2 linked regions of the Caenorhabditis elegans genome follow. The protein of the gene in region 1 interacts with the protein of each later gene in a pairwise test. Each region holds a gene or a part of one and is shown on either strand. Other genes may lie near its edges.

Region 1 (7,951 bases):
ATTTTCTCAATTTCCTGGGGTTGTGCTACGAAAAAGTTAATAAAATTGATTGAAAATTTTAGCTAAAAAGTAGTCTTTTTTGAGTTTTGAGCCGCCTTAAAATTATTTAGATTGTTAAAAATGTGGGCATTTTGGGTCAAATAAGGCAAAAGATTTTTGATTAATGTCATTAGAAATTAAAAAAAAATCTTACCGATAGCGTAAATCAAGAAAATTACAGATACAACTGCAAATATTTTTCTTGAATAAATCATTTTCTTCTTCGTATTTGTTGCTCCAACTGCCATTTTCAAGTTTCCTTCGTCGTCGGCGTCGTCCATCGAATCATCCTCTTCCATCGGTATTGATCTCATTCTGTCTGCCTACATTTTTAAATAAAAAATTCTTCAAATCATGGACAATATGTTAGTAGTATGTTAATAGTGAAATCCACACAAAAACAATTCGAATTAGTGGTTAATAAATCATGGTTTTGAGATAATTTTGCAATTTATCTAGCATATCACTGGCAAAATAAATACGATTATGAAAAAAGGAGTGGTGATGAGAAAGAGAGAGCACATCGGGAGAGAAGACAAGAGAATCGGTTGAAAAATTTACAGTAAAATGAAATCAATTCTCAATTTCAGAGGCTTCAGTCGAATCCTTTTTGTAAATGACATCGTAGTGGCCTGGACGATAGAGAAGTGTGATCTCCGGAGCAATTTGTTGATCGTCAGATGGAATGTCGTAATGCCAACCACCGTTCGGAGCAGCAGTACGGTCCATGTATTCGATGCGAACTCTTGTGCCGGCGGCTTTGATCAAAGAATTAATTGCCAGATGATCGGCATCTTTCCACATTGGCTCGATTTCCTGTTCGCAATATTGAGCCACTGTCATTCCCTCATCAATGAATGGAGCATATTCTTCTGAGTTTTGTTTCAAAAATGCTGAAGTTATGAGACGGAAGAACATGAGAATATAATTAGCAGAGCCATCATCATTCAAAATCGTGTAAACAGCTTCCTCGGTATGCACTCCACTGTGGATTTTCTCAAGGAATTCGATAAAGAAGTCACAGAAATCTGTGCAGGTCCAATCCGGAAATCCAAGTTCAACAAGTGTCCGAGTCCAATCCCTGCTACTCGCAATGAATTTTTCGAGTCTGGCTCGATCTTTCAGCATTATCTCAATAAGTCCAACGAGAATTGCACGATAGAAGCAGTTTCCGTCTCCACGAATGTAGCGGATCTCTCCATACACTTCACTAAGCTCAGTCGCTTTAGAAAGGAAGGCAGCCGATGTTTCGTTGTCGTATTCAGCACAAAGAATAGAGAATGGTGCTAAAGTGGCAACAAGTGGAACAGATTTTTGCTGGAAAATTAGAAGAATAATTTAAACGTTTCTATTGGAAAATAACAAACCTCATCTTCAATTGTCTTCAACTGTTGGTCCTGCAAAACTATTTCGTCATCAGTCACCACAGCCTCCGCAGCCTGACCGTTATCATCAGATTTTTGGGGTTCATTGGCCATAGTTCCTGTTACCTGTAAGAAAATGTTTAATTTTTAGAGAAGAAAAAAGCGTTTTATGCAAAAGAAAATGCAAAAGAACAACAATTTCGAGAATGCCAAAGTCGATAAATCAAAATAAAAAAGCGAGAGCTCAGATACGTAAGTTCACCATTACGACAAATTGCACCGAACTACGGTTTGCAAACCGTACTTTCTTTTCGTAAACAAACTGGAATTTGAGTAGGAAATGAGCAAAATCAAAAGGCTTTTTTCTATTTCTATTTTCAATTTACAGTAAAAATTGCGAAGAAATTTTTTCTGAAAAGTTTAAATAAAAATAATATCATTTTCATGAATTTTAGCGCACTTCGTTGTAGGACCAAGTTTAGAGAGTTCAATATGTTCCTTTAAAATTTACCACTGTAGTTTAGATTTTGTTTGCAAACAGAACCAGTCGAAGTTTTTGTTTCTCCTTACTTTTCTGTTTTCGTTCTCTCTTCTAGCTCATTTCAAAACTTTTAAAATTAAAATTAATGCAAAATTGCATTAAAATCGATTTTTAAAAAAAGAATTAAGCTTAAAAATAGTGAAAAAGCATAATTTTGCCCGATTTACATAAGCTGAAAAGTTTCCATTACTGAAATAACAGAAAAATATTCTGAAAGCCCAACAAAAGCTGCGCCAACTATGCAGTTGACGCGTCTCTAGTGTACCGGTGCACGCAAAACACGTCAACTCTCCACAAAGACCGGTCCTTGCGGCGGCGGTCGGCTCCCCATCATCTGGTTGGTTTGCGCGGCGCCACTCTCAGGGCCGGAATTTTGTGCTCTTCGTCTCAAGACGGTCTATTTGTTTCGCTTTTTCCTTCTCTATCAGTTGACTCGAAAGTTGGTGTGCCCGGTCGTCCTTTCCTTTTTTCTTTTTCCTCGTTAAAACCCACATAGACCCCCCACCAAATCATCTCAGGCGCCCTCCCGTGAAGAAGCTCCAGTCATTTCATGTGTCCATTGTTCTTAGGCGCTGACGCTGGTGCTGTTAGTCTGCGCAACAAGAAGAATGTGTTGGGTGGTAGTTGGCCACACGCACACAATTTGGGGAGAGGACAGCCGGGGGCAGACTCCCGAATCGATAATTTTCTCAAGGGCATCAACGGACACCCCCCAACGCTCTACCCCCACCCTCATCGTCACCAACATTTCCTTTTTTTTCTCGTCCTGCGCCCTTCTTTGTTCTGATTTTTTTTTTGGCGAAAAGTTTTTGTCTTTTTTTTGAAAACTTTATTCCTTGTCGATTCCTATTTTAAATATTTCCAAAAAAAAACTTGAAAATTGCTTTTTTTTTAATTTTGGCCAATTTCGAAAATAATTGCATAATTCTTCATTAAAAACGAAAGTTGATTATTTTGAATATATAGTTTTTTTTTCAAAAAAAAAACTATGATTCATCTAAATATATTTTTTCATTTCACTTTTTCTAAAACTATGAATCATTCATATTAGGATAAATATATATATATATAAACAATTAAGAATTAGTCTGTTTTAGGACTGATTTTTTAAAAATTCTTATGTTATTTAAATAAAAATATATAAATTCAACTAAAATCTCAAATTCGGCCAATTTGTCCCATTCCTAGCGGCCGGAATTAATATTTATCCAATTACTGTCTCGTTTAGAGGATTTCTAAAGTTTTTACATTATTTTTCTGTTAGTTTGTACACCTATTGACTGAAAATGTGCCTAAATTATCAAAAAATTAGATATAAACGACCGAAATTTGCAAAACAAAGGAGCTTTAATACATAAATATTGATTTTTCGACCGTTGTGGCTCTGAGAGGTTGGCAAATTTGAACATTTCAGCTAAAGATAGCTGCCCAAAAAATTTGCTACTCCACTTTAGAATCAATTTCAGCCTGAAAACTTTTCAAATCCGAGGTTTTAATTTCAGTTTTCCTATTACTTTTCAACATCAAATTGCCGAGAATGTTATAGCAATAATGAAATGAAAAAAGGAAGACGAACGAACGAGAAACAACAAAAAAACTTTCACAATTTCCATTTCATTCATACCATCATCATCATCTCTTCAAACTTCCGTTTCATTCTTTCCCATTTTTTCCGGTTATTGTTGTCTGTGTGTGTGTGGTGATGTAATAGTTCTACTACAATAATTCGTTCTTCTTCTTTTCTCACTTTTCCCACCACATTCACAATCACACCTAATCCAATTTATTGATTTTCAGCAAAAAACTCTCAATGAGGGAGTTCAAAGTGGTCGTTCTGGGTAGTGGAGGTGTCGGAAAATCGGCGTTGACGGTGCAATTTGTCAGTAGCACATTCATCGAGAAGTATGATCCGACGATTGAGGACTTTTATCGCAAGGAAATTGAAGTGAGAGCGATTCATTTTATTTTAAATTTAAAAAAAAAAAAAGAAAATTCGGTTGAAATCATGGCGCTTGAAATTTTCAGAATGGTTTAAAGTTTCTAAAAATTCATTAAAACATTATATTAAGCTTTGAAATTGAAAGATTTTAGAACTCCCATTACTTGCTCCCTGAGAAAAAGAATTTTACAGTTTTTTCCTACAATATTTGATTTTGTAGCATTTTTACTACTTCTTCATGTATTTAAAGCTATAAAAGTTCTTGTTTATAGGATTTTTGGGGATTCTATGTGTTTTTCGGCGAAAGTCTAAAAATTATCGGTTTCAGTAGTTTTTAATCAAAAAATCATCAGTTTTCTTGTAAAAAACTGGAAAAAAGAGAAAATCTGTTGAATACCGAACGAATTTGCAAAAAAAGTCAAAAATCGAGCATTTTAACGAAAAACTGTAAACTCCTTCTCCTCGGGGAGTACACGAGCGATCGTAGCTTCAAAATTGCTTTAGAATTTTAATTTTCCCAAAACTCCCTTTTAAATGTTAGAAACTAGTAAAAAATAGTGCAAAAGCGTTTTAAAAATCTAAATTTGGAGAAATTCGCCGAAAAATTGCCGAAACTAGTCATATATATTCTAAAATCCAAGAAAAAGGAAAATTAGACTGAATATTCGTAAAATCTGGTAAATTCGAGCCAAATAATCTGGAAATTAATAGAAACCGAGTAATAAGTTCAAAAAAACAATTAATTTGGGTAATTTTAAGCAAAATAAATTTAAAAAACTACGGAAAACAGAAAAATTAGAATGAAAACAATCAATTTCCAGGTGGACGGTCAACCATCAGTACTGGAAATTCTGGACACTGCAGGAACGGAACAATTTTCTTCGATGCGGGATCTTTATATCAAAAATGGACAGGTAAATCTTGAATTTTAATTAATTATCTAAAAATTATTTTTAATTTATTTTCAGGGCTTCGTTGTTGTCTACTCGATCACCAGTCAACAGACGTTTCATGATATTCGAAATATGAAAGAGCAAATTGTCAGGGTTAAGGTTGGCTTTTAACTTTAAAAATGTATTGAAAAATTGTGAATTCACTAAAATCAATTTCTTCAGGGATCCGAAAATGTGCCGATTTTGTTAGTTGGAAACAAATGCGATCTTTCACATCAGAGACAAGTACGATCAGAGGAAGGATTGGCGTTGGGTGAGACTTTTTTAATTTGAAAAATCAAATTTAAATTTTAAAAAAATATACGAAAAACTGATATTTTGAAAAGAAAAATAGCCGCAGAACCTCTTACACAGCTTTGTGTCGATTTACGCAGCTCGTGTACTCCTCGAGGAAAAGGCTTTTACAGTTTTTGGCGAAAATTCTTGAATTTACGCTATTTACGGCAATTTGTCAATCTATTTTTCATTCATTGTGTTTCAGGTGAAAATAAACATATTTTTCTGCAATTTTTAATTGCAAACACAACGATTTTCGCCTGAACCACTGCCAAAAAGAGTTAGATTCAATGTATTTGGATCGGAGAACTGCAAAAAAAAACAAAAATTTTGCTAGTTTTTCAACAAGGAATACAATTATTTTCACTCTAAACAATGTGAAGCTCTCCTCCTCGGGGAGTACAGCTTCGTAAATCATTGCATGGCCATGGTCAAAAAATATTTTGTTAATCGGAAAACGAAAGCTTTCGATTTCCAGAAAATTCAAAACACAAAGTTTTTAACATTTTATCAAATTTTGTTTGGGAAAAAAGTTTATTTTAATAATACAATTTACTTCTAAAAAGAAAGAAATTTTAAAGTCATTTTCTGGAAAAATCGATTTTTTTTCAAAATAGAAAGTGATACAATTTTCAAATAAAACATTATTCAAATAATTAATTTTGAAATTTCAGCCGAAAGTTGGTCATGTCCATTCACTGAATGTTCCGCAAAAAACAATCAAAATGTGAATGTCACATTTGCGGAAATCGTACGAGAAATGAATTATGTGCAGAATAAATCAAGACAAAGCAAATCATGTTGCTCTCTGATGTGACCCGAAGCTTCATCCCCCATCCCAAACATCCCATCCCATCCATTCTCCCTGTTTTATGATCTTTTACCCCTCCATATACCCCATTCAATCGATTCGTTGGGATTCACAAAATTGCTCATTTTATATCCATATTTGCACATGTAAATCGTCCACGGTCGTGTCACTTTCTATTTAAACCTGCGAGAAATTCGATGGCGAAAATTCGAATTTCAATCAATTTGTAGATTTTTTACGGGCTCACATTTTCTCTTTTTTTCCCCCATTTTTTTGTCAATTTTTGATTGATTTGCATGACTTTCCTTCTTTTTTTTCCACCCAACCCCTTTCCATACAATTTTCGTGTGCTATGAACATGATGAACTTGCTCCAATTTTTTCCCGATTTATTTCACTAAAAAAAAACAACCTACTGATGTTTTACAACGAATTCAAAAGCCAAAAATGGCACAAAAACTTAAATTAAATTTTTTGGAATTAGAAAATTAAAAAGTAGGAAATTGCAGGAACGACGATGGAGATGAGAATCGAGAAGCTCGTTGGACTGGAATTACAGTAATCTCCATTGCAAGTGTAGCATTGTCCGGTTCCACCTTGGGCTTGGCATTGCGTCTGGAAATTAATTTTTGCACGAAAAAATATATAAATTTATTTTTACTTACCATAAGCTGAGTACAGGCGACCAGGGCATTTCCAGGATCATTACATCCTTTAGTGGTCTGACGGACTGAAAATTCAGATTTTACAGATAATTTCCAGGCTTAAAACTCACATTTCTTCGGATTGTTCACTTTACAGTCGAACTTCATGCAGGTGTAGATGTTTCCCGGGCAGACTTGAGTGAACGCATTGAGAATACTATTTTGGACGAAGCATGTTGTGGATTCTGAAAAAAAGTCAATGTTCCAAAGCTCCAAGGTCTCGCCACGAAAGAAATATTTGCAAATCGTGAAAGGTACGCGCCTTTAAGCGGTACAGTAACGACTTTTTTTTTCAGATTTTTCGGTTTATTTTCAACTTAGTTTTCAAATAAACATTTTTGAACCCTGGAAAAACTGTACCTCTTAAAGGCGCACACCAAGCCCCTTAGATCAGATCTCGACACTACCCATTATTAAATTTGCAAAAGTGTTTGCGCCTTTGAAGAGTACGGTAGTTTCTAACTTTTCTCAGAACAGTTTTCTCCTGTTTTCTAAAAATTGTTTCATTCTCAAGTAATTTCACTTGTGTAATTATCATTTTTTGATACTTAAAAAACGGAAGAAAAAACTATAGCAACTAAATAAAGAAAACCCGGAAACAATCTGAATACTACAGTACTCCTTAAAGGTGCACACTCGTTTGAAGAATAGTAAGCTAATAGATTTTGTCTTAAAAAAGTCGTTTCGAGACCCGGTACAGTACTCTTGGAGGCAACACGTTCAAAATTTCGCCAGTCCTGTTATAAATCTAGATTCAATTCTCACCTGTCTCTGAAATCCAGAGTACCAGAATCGAGATTGCGAGTAGAAGTTTCATGGTTTCGTATTCGTATCGTATTGCGAATATAAAACGAAAAAGCACAGAAAAAATAGCTTTGTGAATGAATGAATGAGTGAAGGCCCGAGCGGCGGCGGGAGGGTCCGATAGATGTTGTTTCAAACGGTTTCCAATGGTTTCCAGCACGCGGTGCGCTCAAGTTTCTAGGAGACAAAGTCAAAGCACTTAAAGCTTTACGGCATAAATTTTGTGTATATGTGTGCTTTTGTGACCACTTTCTTCCCATTTCTATGTATAAATGTATTACGAAAGGTGCGTCCTGGGGGAGGCAGGGAGAAAATAAGAAAGATGGGATGAATAGAATGGAAAAGCATCTGTGTCTGTGAGTTTGTGAGTACTGAAACAATAGATTCCATTTTTGTGATTTGTTATGAAAAATTGAGGAGATTTTTGGAAGAGATCTTTTGCATAGATCACGGGCACAAATGTTATTGATGTTTTTTGAAACTTGAAATGACAATTTTGAACTGATAATTTCAGACAATTT
Region 2 (6,369 bases), on another chromosome or scaffold:
CTGATCGATTTATCACCTTGCTTCTTCCACTTTTCCCCGTTCATTTTATCGTTCCTCTCATCGTATTTTTTCTGTTCTGTTTCCACCATCAAAAAGTCATAAAACCATCGGTTTTTTTTGCATGCAAATACTCACCTATATCCGTCCCATCTTACTATTTGTTATCCCATCATCACCACTCTAATCTTTCTTTGTTGTTGTGTGTTCCATTTTCGTTTTATTCATATTTTGTCTGAAAATATGTGTTTGAAAATGTTTCCGTTTTGAAAACAAGACCCATCTTCAGAGTCTTCTGCATTTTTCTTCATTTTTTCTTCTGCTTCTTATGTTTCCTCTTCTAGTTCTAAACCTCATTAAACTGCGGCAAAGCGGGGGTCCCAGACCCGAAAAAAAACTAAGAAAAGAGTCCATTATTTTGATATATTTGTTTCCTCCAGTTTCTTCGATCATCCTTTCTCCATTGGCTCCACATGTATCTCCACTCTTTTTTCTAACTTTTCACAGGAAGTGTTCTTTGCATTTTGAAATTTATGATGACTTGCCTTTGCAAAATATTTCTTGCAAGAATTTGTGAGATTTTTTCATCTAAAAAATATTTGCAGTTGTTGGTATGTAGAAGGACATGTTATTTTAATAGTTTGGAACTCTGATACTTACTTAAAAATACTTTTAAAAATGAGTTTCGAATTTTAGAGCAGGGACGCTCGGAAATTTCCAAAATATTCTACTACCGGACACCTCTACATACTTTGGAGGTATTACAAAAAATGAATTAAACTTGAAAATTAAAGAGGCCTCGAATTTAGTCAAAAGATATGCTCATATTTAATGATCTCCTAATTTCGATGACTACATAGTTCCAACTGATGGTAATTTCTACAAGCTGTAAGGAGTATTAATCAACTTGACCTAATAATTTTAAATTTAATTAGTTACCCCATTCATTTAAATGTTGACCTGCCTTCTAAACCATATAAACCTATCATGCTGTCATCTCATCATCATCCCGTTTAGTACATACTAGCCGTGTGTTTCTAACTGTCTTTTGACATATCTTCCTTTTTTTCGGTAGCAGCTTCTCTTATCTGTTTCCATCTCTTCGTTGAATCTATTCCTCCAGCCACTCAATTCCTACCAAAACCCGCGACTTTTTCGACGCCTCATCTGATGACAAGGTTACTTCAACTTTAGAGACCTCCCAAATGTCCCACTCCATGTATCTTATGACTATTGTTTTACAATTTGGAATCACAATTTATAGGAAATTGAATGTCTCGTTTCCACACCTTTTCTTCTATGAATGGTCTCATCTTCTGTCGGCGATTGACTTCTCAGTACTCATTTTGACATGAGTGACCTTTTTCTTGTTCGAATCTATTGAAATGTATTGCATAAACTTTAGTTTTTGTTCCTTCTTTCTCTGTGGCATTCATCTGTTCTTACGAATTCTTGTAATAATCTTCTACATCAAAAATCTTTTTTTTTGTAATTGATAAATAATTGATCTTCTTTATCTTCTTGTATTCCCCTCTTCCCAATTTTTTCCCACCCATTTTTGCAAGTTTTCGTTCAATGTCTCATCATTCCACACGGTGACTCAAAATAGCATTTTCGAATTCTATTTTCGGTTATTTTTAATTTTATCCGAGTATATAAAATTAATGTGGAGCAGTTGAAAACAACAAGTGGGGGTAGGCTGAAATAAGTGTCGCAAAATATTTTCAAAAATGTTCGCAGTGATCAAAATAGTTTTCCGTTTCTTTTTTGTTTATTTGAAGCTATGTTTTGTGTATAGATTAACACTTTTTGTTTAAGTTACGCTGTAATAGTTTGTTTTTCTGGAAAAATAATGGGAACTGCAACAAGAAAATGCTCTTGTTCTAAATTATACTCTACAATATAATTTCTCTTTTCGAATTGTGACACAAAAACTGAAGAACAAAGACAATAAAGTTCGGAAATTGAAATTGAGTTCTCTTGAAATTTTTCTGAAAAAAAAGCACACATTTTTCCTTTTTTTCTGAATTTTCCGAAAAAAAGTTGTCCAGTTTCAAAAACAAAGCAAAAACAAAAACAAAGTTCCTTATTTTAAAAAGTTATTTTTTCCATTCTAGAGTGCTTTTTGAGCATTTCCGTTTCGTTCACCCAATCTGTGGAACCAACAAAAGAAAGCGTGGGGCAGAAAAAGGAAGAATCGCAGACGTCATCCTTCTCTCTTGTGCTCCAGAACATGATGATGATGATGCGGATAGGAAAAGGATAGTTTTTGAGAATTTTTTTGGGAAAAGTTTTCACACCATATTTTGAAAGATGTTTTTTCTCTATTTGAATTTATTTTCATTATTGAAACTGAAATTTCCGGGGTTTCCCATTTTGAAATTTTGAGAACAAGATATTCAGTTAAGAGAATAAATTCAATTATAAAATTGGATTTCTGTAGAAAATTTGTATCATCGTAGATAAAAAAAAAATGTAACGACAAAAATTGTATTCATTCATTTTTTATTTTCTACTGCTATTTTACATTCCGTTTCTGTTTTTTTTTTTTTGGAAAAATAACTTCATATATCCTATTTTCCTCTAAAAGATCCGTGTTCTCAAAATATCAAGAAAATTTCCTGATTCTTTCATTTTCAATAAACCGAACCCTTTGATCAAACCACAGTTCTTGCCAGTAGGCGTTTTCTCACGCATTTCAAGTATCTGCTCCTTTAAAAATTTTAAATTCAGAAATTCGAATCTTTTTGATGAATTCCTTTTTCAAACATTGTTGATTTTAAAATATTCTACTATCAAAATCGCGAAAAAGAGAAGGAATTCGTTGTTTTCACCAAAAAAAATGTATAACGGGAGTCTAATTGATTAGATCTGTCTTTTTTCTTTTTTCGTGACAAAAATGTGAATCCATGTATCTTGAAGCATTGCTTTTCAAGGTTTATGAACTTTCAAACCACCTCTGTTATCAATTTTTGAGATCAGTGAAACGTGAAAAAGAGGAATAGTTCCAGTAGAAAGGAAGGCATTTTTATTGGACTTTTTTTGAAAACTAGCTCAGTAGGAATAGAAAATAGATATATATTTTCCTGGAATGTGCTCTTGTTTTTCTCTAGTTCTCATTCCTAAAAGTATTCTGGAAGTGTCTGAAAAATTATGTCATATCTCTATCGCGCACAACTTTTTCACAATTAAAAACGGAAATATTTTCTTTGAAGCTCTTTTTATGATTATTGTTTTTTGTTGTCTTCCTTTCCTTCGTTGATCATGGAATACTCTTGTAATTGAAACCGCTTCAATGAGCTCTTTCTTTAATTTATTCTCAAATATTTTCAGACAAACTCTCAGAAAGTTGACTGAAATCAAGTCGACGCAATGTCGTCGACGAGCAGTATATGCTCTTCAAATGATGCCGATTTCATTGTTGACACCAGAATTCCGGCATCAATACGTAGAGATATTGATCGATTTTCAGTTTTTATAAATCGACTTCGGTCAACTTTGGATCTCAATTCTTCGGTTGTTGGTATGTCTGAAAATTAAATTTTTTTAAAAATTATTTATAGAGTGTAGCGGAAATTCAGGAAAACGCGCAAGGTTAAGAAAATACAACTAGATTTTTAAATGTAATGTTTCGGTGAATGGTTTAAAATTTGAAACTATTTTTCAGCAAAGCCTTGAAAATCGAAAAGCCTATTTAATAATGTACTAACAGTTATTTTGGAGCACTAAATGTTTTATCTGATCCTTGAAGTTTCCTACGATCGAACTGTAACTTCCAGAGCTTACATGTTTTTTTTTTAAATTAACGTTATGTAATACTCAACTTCCTCATCTGAAATTACAAATTTTGCAGACGGTGAATCAATGTGTGTAAATGTGCATGCATCATTGGAAATGGTGTCAGAATCCATGCGGGACTTGTTTAAATACTCTCAATTCAAAACAAATCCCATCATTTTGCTGTCTCTTCAACTTGTGCAAGCCGTCAAAGGTATGTGTAAGTGAGAGCATATTCTCTCATCTTCTTCTCTTCTGTTGCTCTTCTGCACACATTTCTCATTTAATTTTACTCTCTCTTTTCGTGGAAAAAGACAAAAAAAAGTTGTTTTATGTGCATCATCACAGGAATACTAAACGTATTTCATTAGGCCAATGTTCATTTTATTTCCGGCATCATTTGATAGTTCCTCTGATATTCCAATATATTTCAGTTTCAGAATTACTATTATTAGGTTTAATTCTAGATACATGTTATGTAATTGTTTATTAGGAGTTTGAGCTTTTACATAATTTTGTAAAAATTGTAACGATTTGACTTTATTGGCGTAGAATTTTATCAGTCATAAAACCTACAACGATTTCAAAAAAATTAATCTCAAAGTTTCATTCAATCAGTATAATCAATTTGTAATGCTGTTCCGTACACTGACACCAGTCTTCTCTGAACCTGTCAAGAGAAGTCTGAAAAATTGTTCATTCCAGACTTGAAATTTGATACGTGCTCTGTGGATACGACTCCGGTTCTGAACATTATCGATCAGCTGGAATCAGCTGTTTTAAACATCATTCTGTGAGTTCCCGTCACCTTCATTCCCACACACCCACATTTCTCACCTCGTTCTTTTTTCTTTCGATCTTCCTCTCTCAATGATTTGTTTCGGTTTGATTTTTGAGAGTTAGACGTTTTTCCCTCTACCGGTAGGAGGAATGCGTGTTTAGGTGAAATATGGATTTTGAACGAGGAAGGAATTGGATAAGGTAATTCAAAAACTCTCGAAAATTCTCTAAAACATTGTATTAATTAGAAAATTTAAATAGCTTGTTTTTTTAATTGGCAGTAGCCTTGAGAAATTGTTTTTAACCTGGTAGTTCGGAATTATATTTTTTCTTGCATCAAAAGATTGTTTAAAAAAATCAATTCAAGTTTTATATTTTTCGGAAAAATTGATTGAGCTTATCCTTTCTGTAAACTGAAACAATTCAAAAGTTAAACAAGCCATTTATTCATTCGATTTATTTTTGCATGGGAATATTGATCATTCACATCGTTTCAATTGAATGATGCTGTTTCAAATGTTCAAAATATTTTCTCTGCAAACGCTGCTCCGACGAGACGCTACTAGATTAACGGTCTACGCTCATATACCAAATCACGCATCCAGTAAAAAAGTGTGTCTAGTCGCGCCTTTTCTGTACCTTTTTGAAATATTTAATTGTTTAAAACTTTCTCACACAGATGGAAATGCCAATAAATATTGGCATTTCACTTTTCTGGTTATAACTAAAATGTTAGATTATTCAAGATTTAACAAAAAACGTTGTTTCCAACGAATTTAGATTCTTTCTAAGTAGAAAACTACGCAGGGTTTTTTAAAAATCTGAAAAGAGCGTTTAGTGTTATTGAAATTAAATTCAAAATTATTCATTATTCATTTTCAGAAACCGTCATATTGTTTCATCGGTTCATCATACGCCGAGTAGAAGTTCAACGTTAGGTCGCTGGAAACAAAATGTAAGCTGCATTCTGATCTACAAAAAAATCTTAAAATTGATATTCCAAAAATTTCGAGAAACGTTGTTTTTTGGTAGCGGTTGCTCTCCTGTTTCGTTTACATACACATACGTATTTTGTTTTTGTATGTGTCAATCCATGGTTTTCTATTTTCCCTTTTCTTCAACTTTTCGTTCTTCAATTCACTCCCAACCTTTATTCATAGTTCTTCTTTTTCAGTTCATTTACTAAATTATTTGTTTAATGCGGTCTCCCAGAAATAGGTCCTATGGGAGAGTAAGTTGAAACATATTTGATTAATAAGATTTTGAATAGTATAAAACAAAATTTCCTGCTGAAAAAGTGAAACATTTGAACATCTATTTATGTATGAGGAAAATGAGTTTCAGATTTTCTAAATCGTATTTGAAGTTCTTTAAATCCCAAGTCAGCGATGTCAAAATAGCAAACCAAAACCATGAGTCAGATGACAATATTCTCCTCAAATTTTCCAAAAATTATGCAAATTTTTTTATCTTATGTTCCTTGTGATCTGTTCAAATTTATTTCGAAAATTGTAAAACACAATTATTATAATATTTTTCTATTAGAATGAAACGTTTTATAAAAGCAAAATACGAAAATAATCCGGTAATGTTAACTAATAAACTTTCAAATTTAACATTTTTGATAGCAAGATTTCTGAAAAATGTTCCTAGTGAAAACTGTTCACAGTTGTTTTAAATTGTGGTAAAAGTTACTTTTTTGAATTTAAGTTTTGCTGCCTTGAATACAGTAACCTATTTATTCAATGACAGTTTAAACTAAAACATTTAAAAAAAAAGAATGTTTACTATTTTCTATAAAACTGCAATATTCTG

The links. The genes of interacting proteins can lie anywhere in the genome.
Region 2: the proteins of rap-2 (region 1) and spv-1 interact in a two-hybrid assay, tested with the Caenorhabditis elegans proteins (one study listed by BioGRID).

Annotation. Positions count from the first base shown.
Region 1 is NC_003283.11:15,059,876-15,067,826, reverse strand, and holds rap-2 (small monomeric GTPase), read left to right. Parts: upstream 1-3,739; 5' UTR 3,740-3,754; coding exon 3,755-3,889; intron 3,890-4,704; coding exon 4,705-4,797; intron 4,798-4,851; coding exon 4,852-4,935; intron 4,936-4,998; coding exon 4,999-5,089; intron 5,090-5,786; coding exon 5,787-5,929; 3' UTR 5,930-6,339; downstream 6,340-7,951. Other genes in the region: C25D7.10 (TPT domain-containing protein), read right to left, coding at 194-353; otub-1 (Ubiquitin thioesterase otubain-like), read right to left, coding at 613-1,356, 1,407-1,517; C25D7.9 (Transcriptional regulator), read right to left, coding at 2,510-2,692; nssp-71 (neuronal small secreted protein), read right to left, coding at 6,403-6,537, 6,588-6,652, 6,698-6,811, 7,392-7,443.
Region 2 is NC_003280.10:7,925,656-7,932,024, reverse strand, and holds the start of spv-1 (Spermathecal Physiology Variant), read left to right. Parts: upstream 1-3,369; coding exon 3,370-3,520; intron 3,521-3,602; exon of another isoform or gene 3,603-3,680; intron 3,681-3,850; coding exon 3,851-3,988; intron 3,989-4,479; coding exon 4,480-4,567; intron 4,568-4,723; coding exon of another isoform or gene 4,724-4,755; intron 4,756-5,436; coding exon 5,437-5,509; intron 5,510-6,369.